Astyanax mexicanus: one gene and its partner. The protein of the gene in region 2 interacts with the protein of the main gene of each other region in a biochemical or structural test. Links are inferred from orthologs where the notes say so. Each region holds a gene or a part of one and is shown on either strand. Other genes may lie near its edges.

What was found.
Region 1: of the proteins of mib2 (region 2) and cylda, one has a biochemical effect on the other in vitro, tested with the Homo sapiens proteins (2 studies listed by BioGRID, with this or other methods). The link is inferred for Astyanax mexicanus from reciprocal best matches to the Homo sapiens genes MIB2 and CYLD.

What each region holds. Positions count from the first base shown.
Region 1 is NC_064430.1:11,827,022-11,837,332, reverse strand, and holds the start of cylda (ubiquitin carboxyl-terminal hydrolase CYLD), read left to right. Parts: upstream 1-5,976; 5' UTR 5,977-6,358; intron 6,359-10,311. UniProt on the Homo sapiens protein: Deubiquitinase that specifically cleaves 'Lys-63'- and linear 'Met-1'-linked polyubiquitin chains and is involved in NF-kappa-B activation and TNF-alpha-induced necroptosis.
Region 2 is NC_064419.1:12,572,184-12,582,151, forward strand, and holds the start of mib2 (E3 ubiquitin-protein ligase MIB2), read left to right. Parts: upstream 1-5,000; 5' UTR 5,001-5,096; coding exon 5,097-5,127; intron 5,128-9,968. UniProt on the Homo sapiens protein: E3 ubiquitin-protein ligase that mediates ubiquitination of Delta receptors, which act as ligands of Notch proteins.

The DNA of each region.
Region 1 (10,311 bases), on a different chromosome or scaffold from region 2:
GTTTTATTTTATTAACACAAGCTGTTTTCTGCGTTTTACAGTTCCCTGTAATTTACATGTCTATGTGATCAAATGTAAGCCTATCCAAATTTAAAATTGTTTTTTTCTGTTTTGGTTGCAGGAATGAGTATCAATTATCATATTCCAAAGATGTGGAGTTTTAGAAGACATTACCTTACCAGTGAGGAGGAGACCGCCACTGAATACTGAGTAAAAGTTTCTCAGGGCTGTTTTTTTTTTTTTTTAATGAGCTGAAACACCCTGTTCACAAATGCATGTAATGGTGTAGGACGATTATAAGGTTATAAAATAACTATAATTGGTTACTCTACTTAAGGTCTTTTTTTAAACTAGTACACAATGTAAAGTTGTGGGAGTGTCTATGCTTAAGTACATTTGAAATCAAATACTGTTATATTCTTTTTTGTGGTCATAAGTGAGGACTTCTACTTTTACTGCTGTAGTGTTTTACCTTGAGTAACTCTACTTTAACTAAAGTGTGATTTTGTGTATTTTGCCAGACAATTAAAATCTATTTGGTCTTGGAATCTTATGCAGCTGTTTAGAAGGATAATGAGTGACTTCAGACAATAGCTTATATATATATATATATATATATATATTACTTGCCTGCATTTCAGGTGAAACTCCAACAAGAACATTGTAGATGATCTCTGGCAGACACACGTGAAAATTTTAAACTAAGGCTCTTTCAGCTATTAATAATACACTTTAGAACTACTTAACTGCTGCATTTAAGCATTAAAGAGCACAAAGAAACAACAACCCTCACTGCGCTTGCTGCGCCTCCTATATAAAGTCTTAGCCCCTCCTTTCAGACCAATCCAACTGAAGTAGCTTCAATTAACTAAATAATCAAACTTATAAATTAATTTAAAGGCTAAACACCCACATAGTATAAACATTAAAGCATATGATGAACACTGAAGCATAAATTAATAAATGTTCATATCAAAAACATGTCAGAAATAAAAAGCTACACTCTAATACCCCCTGTCCCAAACTTCAGGAATGGTATGTTCCACTCCTAAAGGCGGGAGACACCTGTATAACTGGGCTGATTGGGACGGTTGGTTCTGTTTGTTAGCGTCCCAGTGCTGCTGCAAGTAAGTGGTTCAATGGTTAATGTAGACATAAATAAAAGCTGAATTAAGTTACTTTTGATGGGTTGTGCATGTTTTTTTTTTAACAGAGCAGGTAAAATAGGTGTGTAAGCTTAATACTTAAGACCTTTTTTTGTAAGGAACTATATTTAACACACCCAACAAACATAGGCTTTGCAAAAAGGGAGAGGTTTTAACAGGGACTTTGTAAAAAGTGCAACCTGGAGAGAGTAAACAATGGGTAGTTTATTCCTGAATAGTTTCTTTATCATATTCCTTTATTAGGACGATGTTTTAGAGCCATACAAAAAAAAAAAAAAATAGTTAACTTAAAGGTGTAATATTATGAAAATAATGTTATATTGCGAGAATAAAGATGGTATGACGTGATATTACGGGAATTAAGACGTTATAGAGTTGAATTTTGAGGAAAATGTAATTGTTGCAGTTTAAGAGCGGAGCGCTGAGGGAGGGAAAGGAGCATTTTCCGCTCATTATCTGTTACAGGGCTGTTCGCCATCAGTTATCTACATTTATAACCTGCTGATTATTAATGTTCTAGTGTTGGATAGATAATGCAGTGTGCAGATTTTCCCGTGGTGCCATAGCCGAGGCGCCAGCCTCCCCTGTGGTCGAAACTCGCGCTCCTGCGCGGACATTTCCTGCCTTTTAGTTTAGTGTTTGTGACCAAATGAAGACAAATACAGTAAATTCCAGTCACGGATAAAGAAAATGTTTTTTTACTGATGCAGGATGACTTATAACTTAGAATTTATGAAATCACTGAATTTATAAAGTCACTAAGGGTTCTGTTTACACCAGTTAATTCTTGTGTAACTCAAGATTTGTAAACAAGGCTTTAGCTGAATTCTGCATTTTACTGTTCCCTGTGATTGAGTCTCTGATAACCAAATGTTAGCCTATTAAAATTTAAAATGATCATATTTTTTTTCTGTTTTGATTGTAGGAATGAGTCAATATATCCTCATTTCAAAGATGTGGAGTTGAAGAGCGTGATCTTACCAGTGAGGAGACCACCACTATATTGAGTAGCATTTTTTTAAAGGTGTTTTTTTTTTTTTTTTTTTTTTTTTTTTACAAACTTATTTACAAGTACATGTGATGGTCTAGGACCGTTTCAAAGTAAATAAAATTGGATACTGTACTTTTTTTTATTATTACTTTATTTTTATTTCTACTTCTACTTTTACTGCAGTAGTGTTATACCCAGAGTATCTCCAGTTTTGTGCGTGTATGCGCGTGCGTCGTCCTGCAGACAATTAAAATATATTTGGTCTAGGAATCTTGTGCAACTGTTTAGAAGGATAATGACTGACTTAAAAAAATGGCTGTATATTATAGCATTACTGATTAACATCGAATTGTATAGTAATACTGAACAGAATTGTGATTAATGCAATAAAGGGGCCTTCATTTCAAGAAAATAAAAAAAAGATTGCCAAACAAAACCCCCAAACTACATTTACAAGCCATTGTGTTTTGTACAAATTGATTTTTTTTTTAATGTGACATTTCACATTTGTGACGTGTTTTTTTATGTTAACAAAACACTGAAAACTAGGCCATGTGGTCAGTGCGGGTACAGATTACTTTACAGATTATTTTTGTACATTTCTCTTCTGGTGCCCTTCAGTAGTAGTTTTCATGGCTAAATTTACATAAGTGATTACAGAGTTTGTTACACATGCCAAGGAAAAGGTGCGTTTAGTCAAAATTGCACACTTACCCTTACGTTTTTGCACACTTACGTTTACCCTTCAGGGCTTTCATAACAAACACCACTTTCAATGGACTTGCTCAAGTCTGTTCCAGCTGGGTGCAAGTTGTCTGTCCTTGAGCGTCAGCAGCTTGGAAGAGGCTTTTTAGTTGTGCAGGATTAGCTGGAGATGTTACTTATAGTACTGGTTGAATTTATTTTAATGGTATTGTTGCTAATGCTATTCATTACATGTTTTATCCACTTGTTTTAATGAAGTTTGTCTTCCATTTCTCTTATTAAAAAAGGAAATGACAGCTAAACAAGTAAAAAGGGGACATTCAATACAGTTTGACTCTGGGCCATTAGAAATAAAAACAAATAAAAGTTGATTTAATTAGCATAGATACAGGGATGTAAATTGACATTTATGAATTTCAAAGTGTAAAAAGAACCTAAATATCCATTTGCTGCTCCAAATCCTACAACCCTGTAAGTGGCTAGATGGGACCTGCACATGGGCCCATGGCCATGTTTACTGGTTATTCTTCAGAATAGGGGTATTTAATTAGAATTCAGTACGGTCCAGTTAGAGTAAATTTCGTCAGTCCACGGTCATATATATATATATATATATATATATATATATATATATATAAACATCTAACCCGTGAGTTTGTTGAACACTATGATTAAAAAATATATCAGTAAAATCTGTGGCCAGATTTTGTGTACATTCGTCCCTGTCTCTTTCGCGCTGGGCCTGTCTTTAATTTCCTGTCTCTTTATAAAGGCGTTTTTTTCCCGGCTGCGTCCCAATTCATAAGCTGGGGCATCGGTCTGCACAGACCTGATTGGCAGAGGAGAGCGTTTGGTGATCTAACACCACACGTGATTGGTCTGTGAGTTTACTGCGCAGCAAAGCAGGTAAACCATAAAGACAATAAACGTTCCTCCGCTTTGAATAAATACGGTCAGAATTAAATTCATCTCAGTAGTTTATTGGTCTGGGTCCGGACCGCGGTCCGTCTATTAGTGACCCCTAGAGGATTACTTTTGTTAGTTGGTGAAAAATGCATACTAAGAAAACCCAATGTTGTGGAAATGATTCTTACACTTAGTTTTTCTAATTAACACATCGAAATAAAAATAAAACACTGATTCAACATGAAATTATTGCTATAATTATTTATTATTAGAACATCTTATAAAAGAGTAGCACCCCACTTACGAATTTAAAATAGACATAAAATAAAAAAAAAATATTTATTTCAATTAAGTTACTCTACTTGCTTCTTATACCGAACAAAACCCCTTTTATTTGATACACCTGAACCATTCTGTATGAACATTTAATCAGTTCATAAAGGGACTTTTAAAAATAACAATTATGTTTGATATAGGGAACACAACCCTCACTTTCTGGTGCAAAACGCAGCCACTTCCCAACCACATCAGAAATGGTAATCAATCTAAGACATTGGAGTTGTTGATTAACTGCACCTATAAAACAATAAAAAGCTTTCAGATTATGTTAAGCCACACATCACCTTAGCTTGAAAGTAATTATCTCAAATAGCAAGTGCTTCAATAAAGTGGTCAATTAGCAAAATAACATTGAATATAACATTTAATATGAAAGACTTAGTAATAAATGTCCTGCAATGTATAATGCATAATTAGAGATACAAAAATGTGTGAATTCTAGGACAAAGCAGATATCCAATAACACACATGTATAGAGTGCAGACATGTCAATTAAGTACTAATAATTTGTTACCTTAAGTAGAAATTAGTTCTCTATACTTTTTTAATACAATTATCTGTATTATCTACTTCTTACATTTTAAAAACAGACCTACTTCTATTTCATTTTGGCTTATAAAAAAAAACGATCAGGATGATGTGTGAATTTGATTGTGGTTGGATGAGAATTATAACCATATACTATACTGACTCTCACTATTGGTTTATAGGGGATCCATCTCACCTGCACATCACCTGAAACTGAAGTAGCTTCAATTAACTAAATTATCAAACATAAACTTAAAGGCTATAAACCCAAATAGTATAAACACTGAAGCATAAATTAATACATGTTCATATCAAAAACAGAAACAAAAGGCTACACTCTAATACCCCCCTGCCCCAAACTTCAGGAATGGTATGTTCCACTCCTAAAAGCGGGAGACACCTGTATAACTGAGCTGATTGATATAATTGCCTCTGTTTGTTAGTGGCCCAATGCTGCTGAAAGTAAGTGATTAAATGTTTAGTCCCAGTTACAACTGAATAAAAGCTAAACTAAGTCACTTATGATGGGTGTTTTTTTTTACAGACCAGGTATAATAGGTGTGTAAGGTTAATATTTTAGAGCATGTTTTGTAAGGAAACCAATTAAACACACCAAACAAACCTAGGATTTGCAAAAAAGGAAAGCATTTAAGATCGGTCACATTAGCAGCCAGAGTTGCCAGGTTCGCGGTTTTTCCCAATGTTTTAAAAAAAATCCAATCGCGGGTGAAAAATCAGGGCTGATGGGGTGCGTTTTTGTGGTCTACTTAAAAAAAAAATCGCAATATAACCAAAAATCACCAGGCAATAAACAAAAGGTTAAAGAGGAGAGAATTGTGTTCAGGAGAGGCAAGAACAGAAAAGAGTAAGTAAGTTGTTTTTTTGTGCTAATTTTTACTATTTATATATTTAATGTTCTTGACTGGGATAAACTGTTATGAAATAACTAATAAAACAATAATATTAATGACTAGATAAAATATCAATATTCATAACAAATAACAAACTAAACAAAATAGTGGTAAACTAAGTTAATTTGCCATTTGCTTCGAAGGTGAGACACATATTTTGGGCTAGTTTAAGCTTCTGCAGGGCGGGTTTTAGTCTGATTTTGGGCTGGATATTTTGTTGGACTTGGCAACCTTGTTAGCAGCAGCTGCAGGTTTCATACACACAAGCTCGTCAACCAAACCACTGGAAAACCCCAGAAGGCGGGCCCTATAGAGCAGAAGGTCACAACAACCAATCATAGCGAAACTAGAGGCTCCTCCACCAATCAGAGCGGAGATAGATGCTCCTCCACCAATCAAATCGAAGAAGGAGGCTCCTCCACGGGTTCGGTTGGTGTGGTGTATACAGTAAATGGTCCCATGTTTAACTGAAATAAACGCTGCCTCTGTGTTTTATAGCGTTACTTTGTTTTATTTGAGTGCACTGTTTGCTAGTATGTAATGGTTGAAGAAGGTCCGCGATGAGGGAACGCTAAGGTGGACTGTTACAGTCGTAGCTAGCTAGCTAACGCTGTTTAGACAGCTAACGTTAAGCTAACTCACGTTAGCTAACGCTAGTTAGCAGCTAACCCAGCGACCCCGGTGAACCTTCTTTTCCTTCCCTGCTTTTTATGTCGCTAGCGAACTAAACACTGGAGTAAAAGCTGTGAAACCACCACTCCTCACCGAGGGAAGGCTGTTTTTCATCCCAGGGGGAGCTGCCACTGTTTCAGGTAAACAGAAAAGTAATTTAAAGCCTCAGTTTGTTGGCTAACGCCGTTCCTTGCCTTTGACTGCTGCCTTCTGTACAGCGAATTTTCATGAATGTCTCAATTCTCAAAACTGTCTTTACGGTGTCGCTCAAGCCCTGCAACAAGTGTATTTCGCAAACTCATATAGATTTAGCTACCACTGGTCAACGTTAGCTTGCGTTAAGTTAGTTGTTTAGGGCCGACCTAGCTTAGCTTAGCAAGGTAGCTAATACTGTTAACTAACATACACAGGTAGCTGAAGCCAAGCTAGAGCCACGGAGAGCTACGATTAGCTAGCAGGCATCGATGACTTCACGTGGTTGCTCTGATTTGAGGTGATGTCATCCCCATACACCACATTTATTACAACACATATTAGTTAACTTAACTAATATATTAACTGGTCTGTGGTGGTGGTGATTATAATGATGAGATGTTGTGAGAAGGATAACGTGTGCTATAGATTAGCTAGTTAGCACTAGGAGCAGGATGCTCTTCTCCTAAACAGCAGGTTACAAAGCCCCCCTGTCAGGAGGTTTCAGCTGTCATAGTCCTTTCTTCTAATGTATTTTTAGTGTATTAGCTGTGTTTAGCAAATGTACAGAGCCCCTAAAAGTATAAAGCTAGAAAAATCTATCAAAATATTTGTAAAAACAAGGAAACCTTTTTTTATGGGGGAACCATGTATTGACCTAATTATACACTAGTCTAAACTAACCCACATGTCGTATTGTCATCTACTGTTTATCATCTACTGTGGTAAAATTATGTTTTTATAAGTGTTTTCTAAGTTTATACAACTAGAAACTTATTAAACTAGAGTTTTAATTGTTTCCTAGTTTTGATAAAAAATACACTATTCTTAGTGCATCAGCTGTGTTTAGCAAGTGTACAGAGCCCCTAAAAGTATAAAGCTTGAAAAACTTAAAGCCCAATTTCCTAGTGTTGATTAGGGCTACAACTAATGAATTTTTTGGTAGTTGACTAATCTGATTATTGATTATTTTTTCGATTAGTCAAAAATGATAGAAACATCAGAACATTAGATTTAAATGGCATTAAAATATATGAATGTTGCTTAAACATTAAAAGTACTGATATTTAGTGATGTTATCTGTTGTGTTTGGGCACTTTTGGAAATACAAAGTTGAGTGTAAAATGTGTGAGTGAGCTGTTTACCCATCTCCCATTGCGCTTCTTTCAACAGCACTGTCGATTATAGTGACTAATCGCTGCAGCCCTAGTGTTGATTAGAATATGTTGAAATTTGGAAGTGAGGGAAAAATGTATTTACCTATTTATACACTAGTCTAGCCTAACCTAAGTCAGGTTACCAAGCCCCCTGTCAGGGGTATTCATTTGTCTGTCCTTTCTTTCTAATCTAATGGTAGTGTATCAGCTATGTTTAGCAAATATACAGAGCCCTCAGGAATATAAAGCTAGGAAAATATTCTTTAGAGATTTAAAATATTTACTGTTTTTGATAAATGTGTCCCTCACTAATTGCTGGGTCTGTGTAACATTTTAACTTTTAGGTCATTTTGATATCAGTGTGCTAGCACTAGAAGGATGCTGTTGTAAATAAGCTGTCATAGGCTTTTTTTTTCTAAAGTAGTGCATCAGCTGTTTTAGCAATTATACAAATCCCCTAAAAGTATAAAGCCTGAAAAATATAGTTTAAAGTTTTAAAAATGTTCTCAGTTTTGAAAATTGTGTTCCTCACTTCAGCTTAATCATCCCCTGTAAACTGTGGGAACAGTTTATAAAAAAAATATGGAAACTATTTGTGAGGGAACAATGTATTGACTTGTTCATACACTATTCTAGTAAGGATATTTTAACCCACAGGTCCTTCTGTCATCTACTGTGGTGATATTAAAGAGATAGAGTGTGCTAGCATAAAAAATGTTGTTTTAAAAGTCAGGTTACAAAGACCCCCTGTCAGGGGGTAAATATAGCTCTTACAATCCTCTTTTCTCACCACTTCTTAGTCTGTCAGCTGTGTTTAGCAAATGTATGAAACCTCTAAAAGTGGTCCTTATTGTCTTTGGTCTGGAGCTTATGGTGTCTTTCTTCCCAAAAAGTCATGTTTAATATCTTATTATTTGTAAACCTCCTGACTGTATTACCAGCCCTAAAATGCCCCAATCCTAACCGTTTTTTTAACGACTTGCAGATTTAAATTTCAGGAGTAGATTTATATTAACTATGACACAAGTTTACCAGACTAAACACATATTTGGTCTCAAACTGTCTGCAAAGAAATAAATGTAATGTGCATTTATTTATTTGCATTTTATTCATGCTGCTCATACTTGCTTTCTGATTTAGGGTTGTATTTATTCTGCAAAACTGACAGCATCTATAAGTTAAACTCCTGACCGTCCGTTTTTTCTTACTCTTTGATTAAGGTGTTTCCTCTGGGATGTGGTGGCCACTACATTATGGGTAGTTGAAGTTGGAGCGTTCATCTTCCCACTCTCTCTGACAGTAGCGCAAAATGTCAGTTAGAGCTATTTTTTATTGCAGTCACCTGTTACTAAAATCTCAGTAGTTTCTACCCTCTAAAAAGTGAACCATTGGGATGAGTCAACGATATTTTTGGAAGGTCACAGTCTTTTACATTATTTTGTTGCTTATCTTAGTCAGCTCATGTGCTGTTAGTGAGCAGGAAGCCTGGGCAGTGAGGTTGTCTGTGAAATCCCCTGCAGCTTCATTGACATGGTCGGCAGCTCTGGGGGGAAATCCGAGTGTGCACATGCTTAGTGAGTCAGTGTGTTCAGTGCTGCAGGGAGTATTTGTGTGTGTTTTTGTCTCAGGCTAATTTGGTTCTGTAAACGGTGCATGGATTACATTTACAGTTTATCTGCAGAATTTGGTTTACTTTGAACCATTAGGTCCACTTTTAATTTTTATGGTAAATTTGTTGCATTTCCAGTATTTTTTTTTTTTCTGAGCTAATGAAGGTTGTTTGACTAATTGTAAAAGGTTAATATGGATTGAAAGATACATTCTTAGCGAACACACAAGAATAACATTATGACCTCTCCTTGTTCCCAAAAACCTAACAAATATTTTTACCTGAGAAAATCACAAGACCATCACAGAATGCAGATATTACTTGGGTGGTTGGTCTTTCTCATCACTGAAGTGACACTGATATGTTGATGGTGTGTTACTAGCATGTATTGTTCTGGTGAGCTGTCAAACACAGCAATGCTGCTGGAGTTTTTAAACATGTGTGTCAATGCTTGACGAAGAATAGTCCACCAACAGCATCCTTCTCAGCAACTCAGAACAGAAGAGAAAACTCTGTGGTGTTTCATGGAGTATTCGCTGAAGAACAGATAGCTGCACTGTGACCTACGTTACTTCTCTGATGGAAATTTTGGTAAAACACCAGCTTCTACTAGGAACTGGTCTAAGCTGGCCTTTGATGGTCAAATTGGTTGATTTATCAGCTGCTAAGCAAGCTAGTTGAGCAGCTTAGCTTTGGACCAGCACAACTTCCGCATGAGTTTCAGATCAGGATGTTAAGAGAAGCAGATGAAGTTGTAGACTTGAATCATCAAAGGACCTGTTTCAAATCAGGAAGTTATTATACAGGCCCCATTTTACTAGTTTCAGGTGTGTTCAGTTTAATGCTGTGTTTTCAATGTGCTCTCGTTGATGATTTTATAATTTTTGTTATAATACTTTATTATGTGTAATAATTAGCAGTTAAAATGCCTTATCCTGGATTGATCTAATAGTTGCAGATGTTGAAATAGGTTAGGTTTGTTTAATATGGTATATTTTTAGAAATGTATAATTTCGGAGTGGGCGATATGGCCCTAAAATAATCTCAAGATATTTCATGGTATTTTCGCGATAACATTACTCTTGGCAATATGACAAAATCCTTTAAAAAAATATTTTAAAAATACACTATACAC
Region 2 (9,968 bases):
GTATGTGAGGGGATGGGCTTGCAGGGCTGAAGGCCTGAAGACCACGCTGTGTTTTTCCTCAACTGCTGCTCTGTGTGCTGCACACACACAATCGCACGCATAGAGGTAATCCAGCCAGTTATGGTAGTAATGTAGTAGTGTCTGTAAACTGTAGCTTGTGTTGTTGTGTTGCTGTAACTGTTTTGTGGCTGTTGAGCTTACACTTACAGTTTATCAAAAATAGGGCTGCAACTACTGATTATTTTAGAATAATTTGACTAATCTATCAGTTATTTGTTTGATTTTTCAATTAGTCAGCGATTATTTCTTGTTATTTCTTATAACAATGTTATTTCTTTCTTTCTAATATATTCTCATATTGTGAATTTTATTCTAAAATAAAAACTTTTTGTGAATAAAAAAAAGAAGTACAGGTTGGGCCACTTAAGTTTAGAGGCAATTTTTTTGAATCAACATTATCAACTAATGGTTGCAGCTCTAATCAGAGATAACAGATTTTTATCTTGAAATGCTGGTAGTATAATGGGATCCTGATAGACAGTCCTGTACAAATTCCCTGTGTCTCTATTTTTCTCTATTTTATATGTCTACTCGACCATATAACTCATAAGAGGAAGTTAATTTGTCTGAGAGAAGACTCATTGTAGTTTTCTCGCCACAGCCATGTGTACGGTGGATCTTATTATGAATATGATGAGAAGATAAGTCCTCATTATCCGTAAATGGGATGATGTTGGACTGTGAAGTCCTGCAGTCCTTATCTGACCTATAGAACAATGCTCTTTTAGCATAGCAGTAGGTCAGGACAATAATTATAAAATAGAAATAATAACAATAATAAAAGTGTGTGTGTGTGTATATATATATATATATACACACAAAAAAGCTTTGAAAATAGCTGTAAAAAGCTTTGAAAATAGCTGTAAAAAGCTTTGAAAATAGCAAATTTATAAAGAAGGAAGTACAACTAAATGACATTACAGAGGAAGCACAAGTGTATAAGTGAACCACATCAGCAGAGCAGAGCAGTTTACTGATATTTATAAAAGATGCAATATCATCTAATGAACAAATTGAATAACAGTAGCATACCTGTGAAGTCTCCCGTTTTGGCCGGGAAACTACCGTATTTTACTCCTCTTTCTCGCCGTCCTCCCGTATTAGTATTTTCCCGTAAATTTCCCGTATTATATTACAATTAAAAATATATATATTATTGAGGAGACAGGGCACTGACCGCTCTGTGTCTCTTAACCAATCGTGGAGGCGGTTCAAGGAGAAAGTCACGCCTTTCAGGAGAAACAGCCAATCAGCTTGCAAAGGAGGGTGGGGAAGCCCCCCGTCGCTGTGAGTTCAGGCAGCTAGTCGGATCAGCTGACGTTAAAAAATATCTGGATATGCAGCGATTTTTCTAAAAGAAAGGTAACGGTAGGCTAATCATGTAAACTGTGATGAGATTTTTCTGATAGCTGCTTAAAAATACTCGTCTCCGAAATAAAACACACAGATTAAACATTTTAAAATAAAAAAATTACAGCTTGTGACTCAGTTTAACTAGAAATGTGGCGAGGACCGAAATTAACTAAACTGATCAGGGGTGGAGTGATCAAAAGATTCATTTTGCAGAATTTGTGCACCCTTTGTTCAATTTTAAATCCATTAAATAAATAAAAAATATATCATATAAAAGAGTGCATTTATACCAAAAAGACATGAAATCTTAACTTTTTAAAAAATATATAGAAACGGGTTTTTAATTTGGCTGTATTAAAAGAATGACATATGCAGGAATGTCCACAACATTTCAGATTCTGATCATCTATTTGTAGTGTATAAGTGGTTCACATGTCGTTATTTTAGATTTTTTTGTAAACCTATCTTAAAACGTAAGGGATACCTTACCTTCGTTGGGCTGGTGGGACGGCTTTAAGCGGACAGAGTAAAATATCCCTTATTTTTAAATCTAAAACTTGACAGGTATGAACAGTAGTTCCTGAGTGGAAACTACCTCCACTCACAATAGTACTTCAGGGATTAGAGGCTGTGAGCGTACACCATCAGCAGCTTCACACTGTTTAATCTGTTAGTTAAATGGTCTGGGAGAGAGTCAAGATGTGTTTGGCCACTAAAACACCAGTATTTGCATGTTTAAAATTGTGTATTTTATTTTACACAGCAATCAGATTTCAGTCTGACTGAATTTTTTGTATAAGAAACGTAAATGATAAACAGGTTGCTAAAATTGCAGTCTAAAATCCATGTACAGGTCACTAGTGCCGGGCGGTATAGCCAAAATTGAAAATCACTGTATTTCTGACAGTTTAATGGTATATAACGGTATTTTGATTATTATTAATTATTTATAGTTTTTTGCATGACTGGTCTTTAATATAGGAATAAGTGTAGTATAAAATGTCAGACTTTGGCTAGTATTGGCTTTACTTTGTCCCACAAAAAACTACACAATATATGAAGGAGTCAGAGTTCATTAGCTGAAAAACAGCTGAAGAATGTGAACAATAGACCTTAAAAAAAGGTATGACAACATTTAACACAGCTTGGTGGCTTTTCCTTGTTCTCCCCATGTACGTGTGGGTTTCCCCTGTGAACTCCGGTTTCCTCTCACAGTCTAAAACATAGAGATCAGGTACATTTGGTACATACTCTAAAATTCTCAGAAAAATGTAATAATGGTATCTGTGTGTTGTGATGATGTAGGATTGTTAATTTGCATGTGTGTGTGAATTAGGGCTACAGCAATTAGTCGCCATAATCAACAATGTCAACTATAAATATTTGTTGACACAGAATTTCATTGTTGAAGCATCGTTAATGTGTGATGGTGCAAGAGAGAGGAAGACACACACTTAGTGAGAGAGTGAGCATCCTGATTGGCCGTGAGAGAGTGAGCACTCCTGCTTAGTACGCCAATGAAGTTGTAGTGTGGGTGGGAATTGCAGCGCGTAAGAGATCGGGAGAGAAAGACGTGCATACAGTGTAATAGCAGCGCTGTGTCAATTGTACACAAACGCACATATTACTCCATGATGCTTCTTAGTCTGTCTTTACTAGTTCTGTACAGTTTAAACACTGATTTCTATATTACCCGTGGAGACATAAATTACTGCAGAGAGCTGCTGAGGAGAGTTTAAACAGGATTATTAATAATATTAACATTAGTTAAAATAACAATTGCTGGCTAAGAGATACTGTACTCTGTCCACTCCAAATTAAGTTATATGATGTAACTACAGACTTTAATAAAAATATATAAATATTGTCTTAGACAAACAATCATTTAAAAAAAAAAAAAAAAGTAAAAGGAAATCCAGCCTGTGTTAACGTTTCCTGTAACATACTTTGCAATTTTTAGTTTAATATAGGTACATCAAACTATCAAAATGTACCATGTAAATGTTTAGCTGTCCTCACCAGTAGGAAGTACAAATAAAAAAATATTTGAAAATCATGCTAAAAATAGTTATATAGAAAGTCATTCTAAAAATATAAATTTCTTCTATTTTTTGTTAAGGACAGCAATATACATAAAAAATACATACTATAAGTATCCTAAAAGTTTAAAGTCCTAATAAATTAATCAGCGATATTTTTTAAACACGTTCTTTGTCATGTAATCAATTAATTGAACTTAACATGTTAATGTGACAGCCCTAGTAATACTCTGTTGATAAACTGATTAGTTTGTAATATTGCCTGTAATATCAGTTTTTATTTGTATACAGTGAACAATTTTGTCTTGTTGTCTTTTGTTTATATACTGCTAGCTTTTTTTATATTCCATGAATGCACTATTTATTGAATACATATCAGTTAAGGGGAAAGTGTTTTAATAAAATTTCTTTTAAAAAAATAAAAAAATAAATTAGTCAATTGTTTTGTTTTACTCCTTCAGATGAAAACTAAAAAATGTTTTATTATTGTTTTTAGTGAATATTTTCAGTTGTCAAGTAAATTCTAGTAAAGGTGTTTGTAATAGAAATAAAGAAAGAAATCTGTCTGGGAATTATTTGCTTCTTTCAAGAAATCACTTGTCTCTAATTTGGCTTTCAGTTTCAACTTTCTTTTTTTACTTTCAATGCCCAACCAGCTTTGTAGACAGGATGTTAATTCCACCGTCTGCAGCTTCAGTTCTCATCTCAAATAGCATCAGGGTCTGAAGTCAAGCAAAAGTGTGAGGAAAACCAGCAAGGCTAGACTTTAGAAAACATTTTTCTAGTATATTGAGTCCAGTCAGCAGTAATAAACTAGCACAACAGCTTGGAAATCTGAAGATGAACTGTGAGTATTACCTGCAGTTGTATGGCTCTTGTTTTTTTTTTTTTTTTTTTTAAACACGTTTGGATAATTATACAGATCTTCTTGTTCCAGCCTTTTATTTATTTGTGGATTTTAAACAAAGGTGTGCAAAGTCTCCCTATTTATTACTCAGGTAGATACTAGGGTTTAAATACTTCTGTAAAAGAATCAACTCAAGCTTTTTACTCAAAGTAAAAGTGTAAAAGTACTGGTTTCAAAACTACTTAAAGGATTAAATTAAAAGTAATGTAAGGGGAGCTTAAATAAAGCTTAGGCTGCACCACAAATTTTTGTTTTTGCAGGGTGGTTGCAAATATGTTAGATATGTTGATTACACTAATTAAGGCAAGCAGAAGAAGTTTCATACTGAAAAAATACTTTTTATTTAACTATACTGTTTATATATGATTTATTTATAGAAGATTCATTGGCTTATTTACCCTTATTACTATTATTAATATTTATATCAATATTCCATATTTCAGTTTGTTAGCGTGATGTTTTATTTAAAAACACACCTGTAGCTTTTGTGGGACTGTTTTTGAAAGTTCTATTTGTCCTGTTTGCATGGCTGCCATGCAACATTTTAGTCAAAAAGCGTAAAACGTGGAGTTCTCGAACTAAGAGCAAAGTTCATCTAAAAACAAACAGTTCTGTACAGCTGAAACAGTTTGGCAGATTTGGAGAGTCGGTGTTCACTGAGGAACTGCTGAGAGAGTGAGTGGATCACAAAGGAGAACAGACAGTTAAATGTCTGACTGGATCATACAGCAGTAAAGATGCTCAGAAGTGGCCTGAAGTTCATGGGTTGTAAGTGATGTAATTACCTTTTTGTATAGTAATATTGTTGTAGAGATTACTGCAGTTGTTAATATAGTAAAGTAAAGTAGTACTGAAGCAACAGCTGGACATTGTGATGAAATAGTGCATGGCATTGAGTCATATTCAGTGAGAAATCATCCAGAGAGCTATGCTTAATGTTAGGTGCTTAATTACATTATTATACTGTATATATCAGGTATCAATTAGCTGTTGTTTAATCATTTATTTAGGGATTAGTTAGTGATTAATGAGCGTGACTGAAGTCACAAGGATTGAACTCACATTGTGCTAAGGGTGTTTATTATATTGTGTTATATAATATAAAATTAGGGATGAAGAGTAATTAGGGGTGAGCTGATCTGATACTCAGTATCTGTATCGGTCCAAAACTCGTCAAAATAAAATAAAAAATAAAAAATTCACAATAAGATATTTTTTAAATTGATTGTGATGAACGATATAATTTGATATAAACGATATAAAAAGACCATTAATTGCCACTGGCATATTGATAATGTAATAGCACAAGAAATCATCAGCTCAGAGACGCCTTGTGCTGACAGACATCACCTTAGGGAGAGAGCACGGCCAATTTTGCTCTCTAGGACTGATTATCAGAATAATTTAATGGTATAATTATCATGACGGGCCTATGTCCAACCAAAGGAGGTTGTCTCAATCCAGATCAGCAGTGAATCCGAATATTAAGTTGTGAACCATTGGATTTGCACATTTTTGTGAAAACTGTAGTAATTGAAGAATATTACTATCATAACTGTAGTTTTGTTTGTCCCCCCTGCCCTACACTTTAATACACTAGTGCCCTCTAGTACGGAATTAAATTTTATAAAATGAAACATGGGTTAGTGTTTGTTGTTTTATTGATTTTTCCTCTTTGTGCTTTATTCACACTGAACCCTGAGTGCTTTTTGTACTGTTGCATGCTTTTTGTAATTTTTTTTATTTATAACTAACATTTTTTATATCTAGATAGTAATGTTGATGATTATTATTAGCAAAAGATTTAAAGTAGACAAATTTGACTGCTGTTCTGTTGATATTTCTTCCATCTTTTTGGATTTCTTTATTTTCTTTGTTGGAATCACGTTATTTCTGATCAGGGTGACATGCTACGTCTTAATATTTTATTATATCACTGAAGTTTTGTCATCATCTTTTTTTTAGGAATTGTTTGGGTTCTAAATCTACAATCTGCATGATCTTGAGAGAGTGTTAGAAAGCGGGTCTCCCGTCAGTGCTTTAGACAGTTCTGCAGAGTTGATGTAATCCCCTTGGTGTGTTGTTTATCCTGGATCAGTATTGATTTCTCCTTGCTCTCCTTTCCCTCTGTAAACCCTGGGTCACCATATGTGTCTGACGAAAGCCAGTTCTAGCATTTACTCTTCCAGGTCTGTCAGGACTACAAAGCTGTACGATAGAAATGGATTTTGTTTGACTCTTCCAGAAACCCAAAAAAAGCACTCAGACTTGAAACATCCTTTTATTTCATGGCTTTCACTTGAATACATTGCAACAGGTTTTTCTGCTTTAATACAAGAATGATTATTCAACACTGACTTCAAAAGTTCTCCTTTTTGTAATCCAGCATGTAATTCATATTTGTTTTAGGTTTTGAAGTGAGGTAGTGAATTCTCTTGTATTTTTTAATGGCTAGTTTGTAGTCTGGAGTTTATAAAGAGGTTTTATAGTAGGGCTTTTCTGGTACAGTTGTGTAGAAGAGTGTAGAGAGTTTTTTTTACCCCTCCTTGGCCCTCAGCGACTGTAATCTCTGAAACAGTCAGAAACTCAGGAACTCGTCTAAAATGTGCTTATATGAGCCAGACTGCTCTGAGATAACTAACCCAGAGGAAGCGGATGTGAGCAGTTCCTGTTTCTGAAGCCTTGGCCAGTTTGCAGTGTCATGCCCACTTTTGTCAGAGTTCTCAGGAAATTCGCATAAGGAAATTGAGAGACACTAAATGGACATAAGTAGGAATGTCCCAATCAGATTATTTTTGCTCCAATATTATTCAAGTCTCTAAATGGTAAAGAGCAGCGATACTAATCAGATCTTTGTGTTTTTGTGTGATCTCTATATAATGCAGCCCCACAGATTATGTATTTATATATTGAGACATCCTGCACTCGTTTAGTTTAATAGTGACCTTTTTATACTGTTTTATAGTATTCAAATATCTTATAAGCTAGTCTGACTGGTTATATAGGATTACGGTATATACAGAGCCAATGTTTTTTTTTTTATTATTTTACAATGTTCTGCATTTTAGATGAATGCTCAAGTCATTCAGACTATAAGGAAAACATATAGAATTATTTGTTTAACAAAAAAGAATGTTTTATATTTTATATTCTTCAAAATAGCCCCTCTTTGCTTTGATGACAACTTTGCACATTCTGGGATTTTCTGCAGTAAAGTCACCTGCAATGACTTTGAGTTAACAGCTGTGCTGAACTCATCAAGAGTTAATTACTTGAATTTCTTGTCTTTTAATGTATTGAAGAGCATCAGTTGTAAAGTTGTGAAGAGGTAGAGTTAGTATACAATGAATAGCCCAAATAAAGCCCTGCAGTAAGCACCGCCTGCCACTACCTGTATTGTAAACTAGTCGTAAAAGCTTTTGCATGCTCCTGGACTAGTCTTTAGTTGTTGTTTTACCCAGTTCTGTTTAACATATCACAAATAGGGCTGGGTGATATTGTAAATATTCTTTAAATATAGGGCATTATATGGGAATTAATTTATTTTACATTTTCAATTACAATGTGCTACAAAACAAATAACAGCAGAATTTAGAGCTATCAAATATGTAAACTAATGTTTCCTTTACATTAGTTGTCAAGGGAAACACAGCTTTAATATTAAAGGTGCTAACAGAACCTCCTAATATTTTAGTTTATACACTGCCTGGCCAAAAAGATCACACTGTAATATTTGATTAGACGCTTTTAGGTTTGATTACGTCATGCATTCACTGTGGCATTGTTTCCACAAGCTTCTACAGTGTCACAACATTTCTTTTTATTCTTTCTATCTGCTGCATTAATTTTTCCCCAAGATCTTGTATTGATGGAGGCTCATATTGTATATATCACCGTTTTTCTTCAGCATATCAAGATGAGTTTTTATATTTATATCGCTTAGCTGTAGCTTATTTAAATGTGCATGTATAAGCAAGTACCTGTGTACAGTGTGGTAGGAGGTGATGTTTGAATGGCCTCTTCATGCTTATTGCAGTGAGCTGCTCCATCTGTTCTGCCATGCTAGGTGGATTATCCTTCTAGTCTGAGCAAGCATGGATAAACTGGCACCGGCATGTGCTAACAGGTGGCATGCCCAAGGTGAGTGCCATGAAGGCACAGTGAACAAGAATACCTGTGGTAGTCCATTGTAGATTTAGAAGCATCTGCTGCAGGCAATTAGGCTTTTTCAATATTAGCTAATTGGTACCTTGGTGATTGAAGATTACATGGACTCCCATCATTCAGTCATCTAATATATATTTAAATTTCAGACATTTAGACAAATTTTAGTTTGTAGTTATTTTATATTATATTATTCATTTTTATTTGTTCTTTATTCTCTTTTTTGTTTAATATTTGTTGTTCTAGGCTTGTCATGATAATTATTTTATTGAAGCTGATGTCTATAGTTTTTTCCGACCTCGTTATTGCTGTTGTGTTTGTTTGCATTTATTTCAGCGGAGATGTTTATTTAACCAGGCATGTTGTCCTTTTCTCTGTTTTGTCACACACACACACAAACACAGAGTACAGTTTTACTGCTGCAGTAGTCTTTTACATTGTTTAATCAAGAGATACACTTATTTGAAACTGTGTAATTTCTTTTTCAATGTAAGTAAAAACTACTTTTGCGTCCTGGTGTGTGCTTAGGAAAGTTCCAGACCATAAAATTATATAAAAAATATTTATCATTAATTGCAATAGTTTCAGGAACAATATATTGTCTGTTAAAAACAGTGATTTTGAGAGACCTACATGGGTCACTGTGTTAAAGGAGAAATCCGGTGTGAAATGGTAGTGTAGTACCATGGTAGTGTTGTGGTGTAGTAGTGAAACATGATAATGAGTATGAATTTAACCGTTTCTCCCCCAGCATTCCCAAATACAGCTTTTTAACCGATGCTTCCCACAGGTTTACAGTGATGGCGATGGGGTATAACTCAAAGAATTGGTAGGATAGGGAACAAATTACAACATGAATTCTATTGAAATGCATGAATATTATAGAGATATTTTTAACATCAGCAGTTTGAGCTTGTTATTGTTGTAAAAATAATTATTTTGTTGCATTGGTAACACTGTCCCCCTATCGCCATCATTGTACTAATAGTGCTTTGTTGTTCGTATTAGCTATAAATAAATTAATATTTTGTCATAACTTTTCTATTTCATTTCACTGTTGAAGGACACGCCTCTTACTATTGTTCTTCTGTCTGCTTGAAATGACTTTATGATGACAGTGTCTAAATCAAGAATTAAAACAAAAACTGTGCAGTAATATAATCTTGTGTGGCTGCTAATGGTATTATGTCTGGTGAACTGTTTTCCGTATCCCTATTGTTGTTTACATCATTGCTGAGATGCTGAGAGTAAACTAGTTAGCATTTCAGGCTCCATGCAATAGCTGAGTGCTGAGGATTTACCTAAGAATAGCAGCACTTATGAGAGTTTTAAAGAAATAATCTACTGTCCTGAATGGGAACAGAAAGCAGGAAGCTTTGGAATTCATTTGGTGAAAGGATGCCTGAGGAGTGGATGGGAGATTTAGCGGGGGAGTGATAATAGGC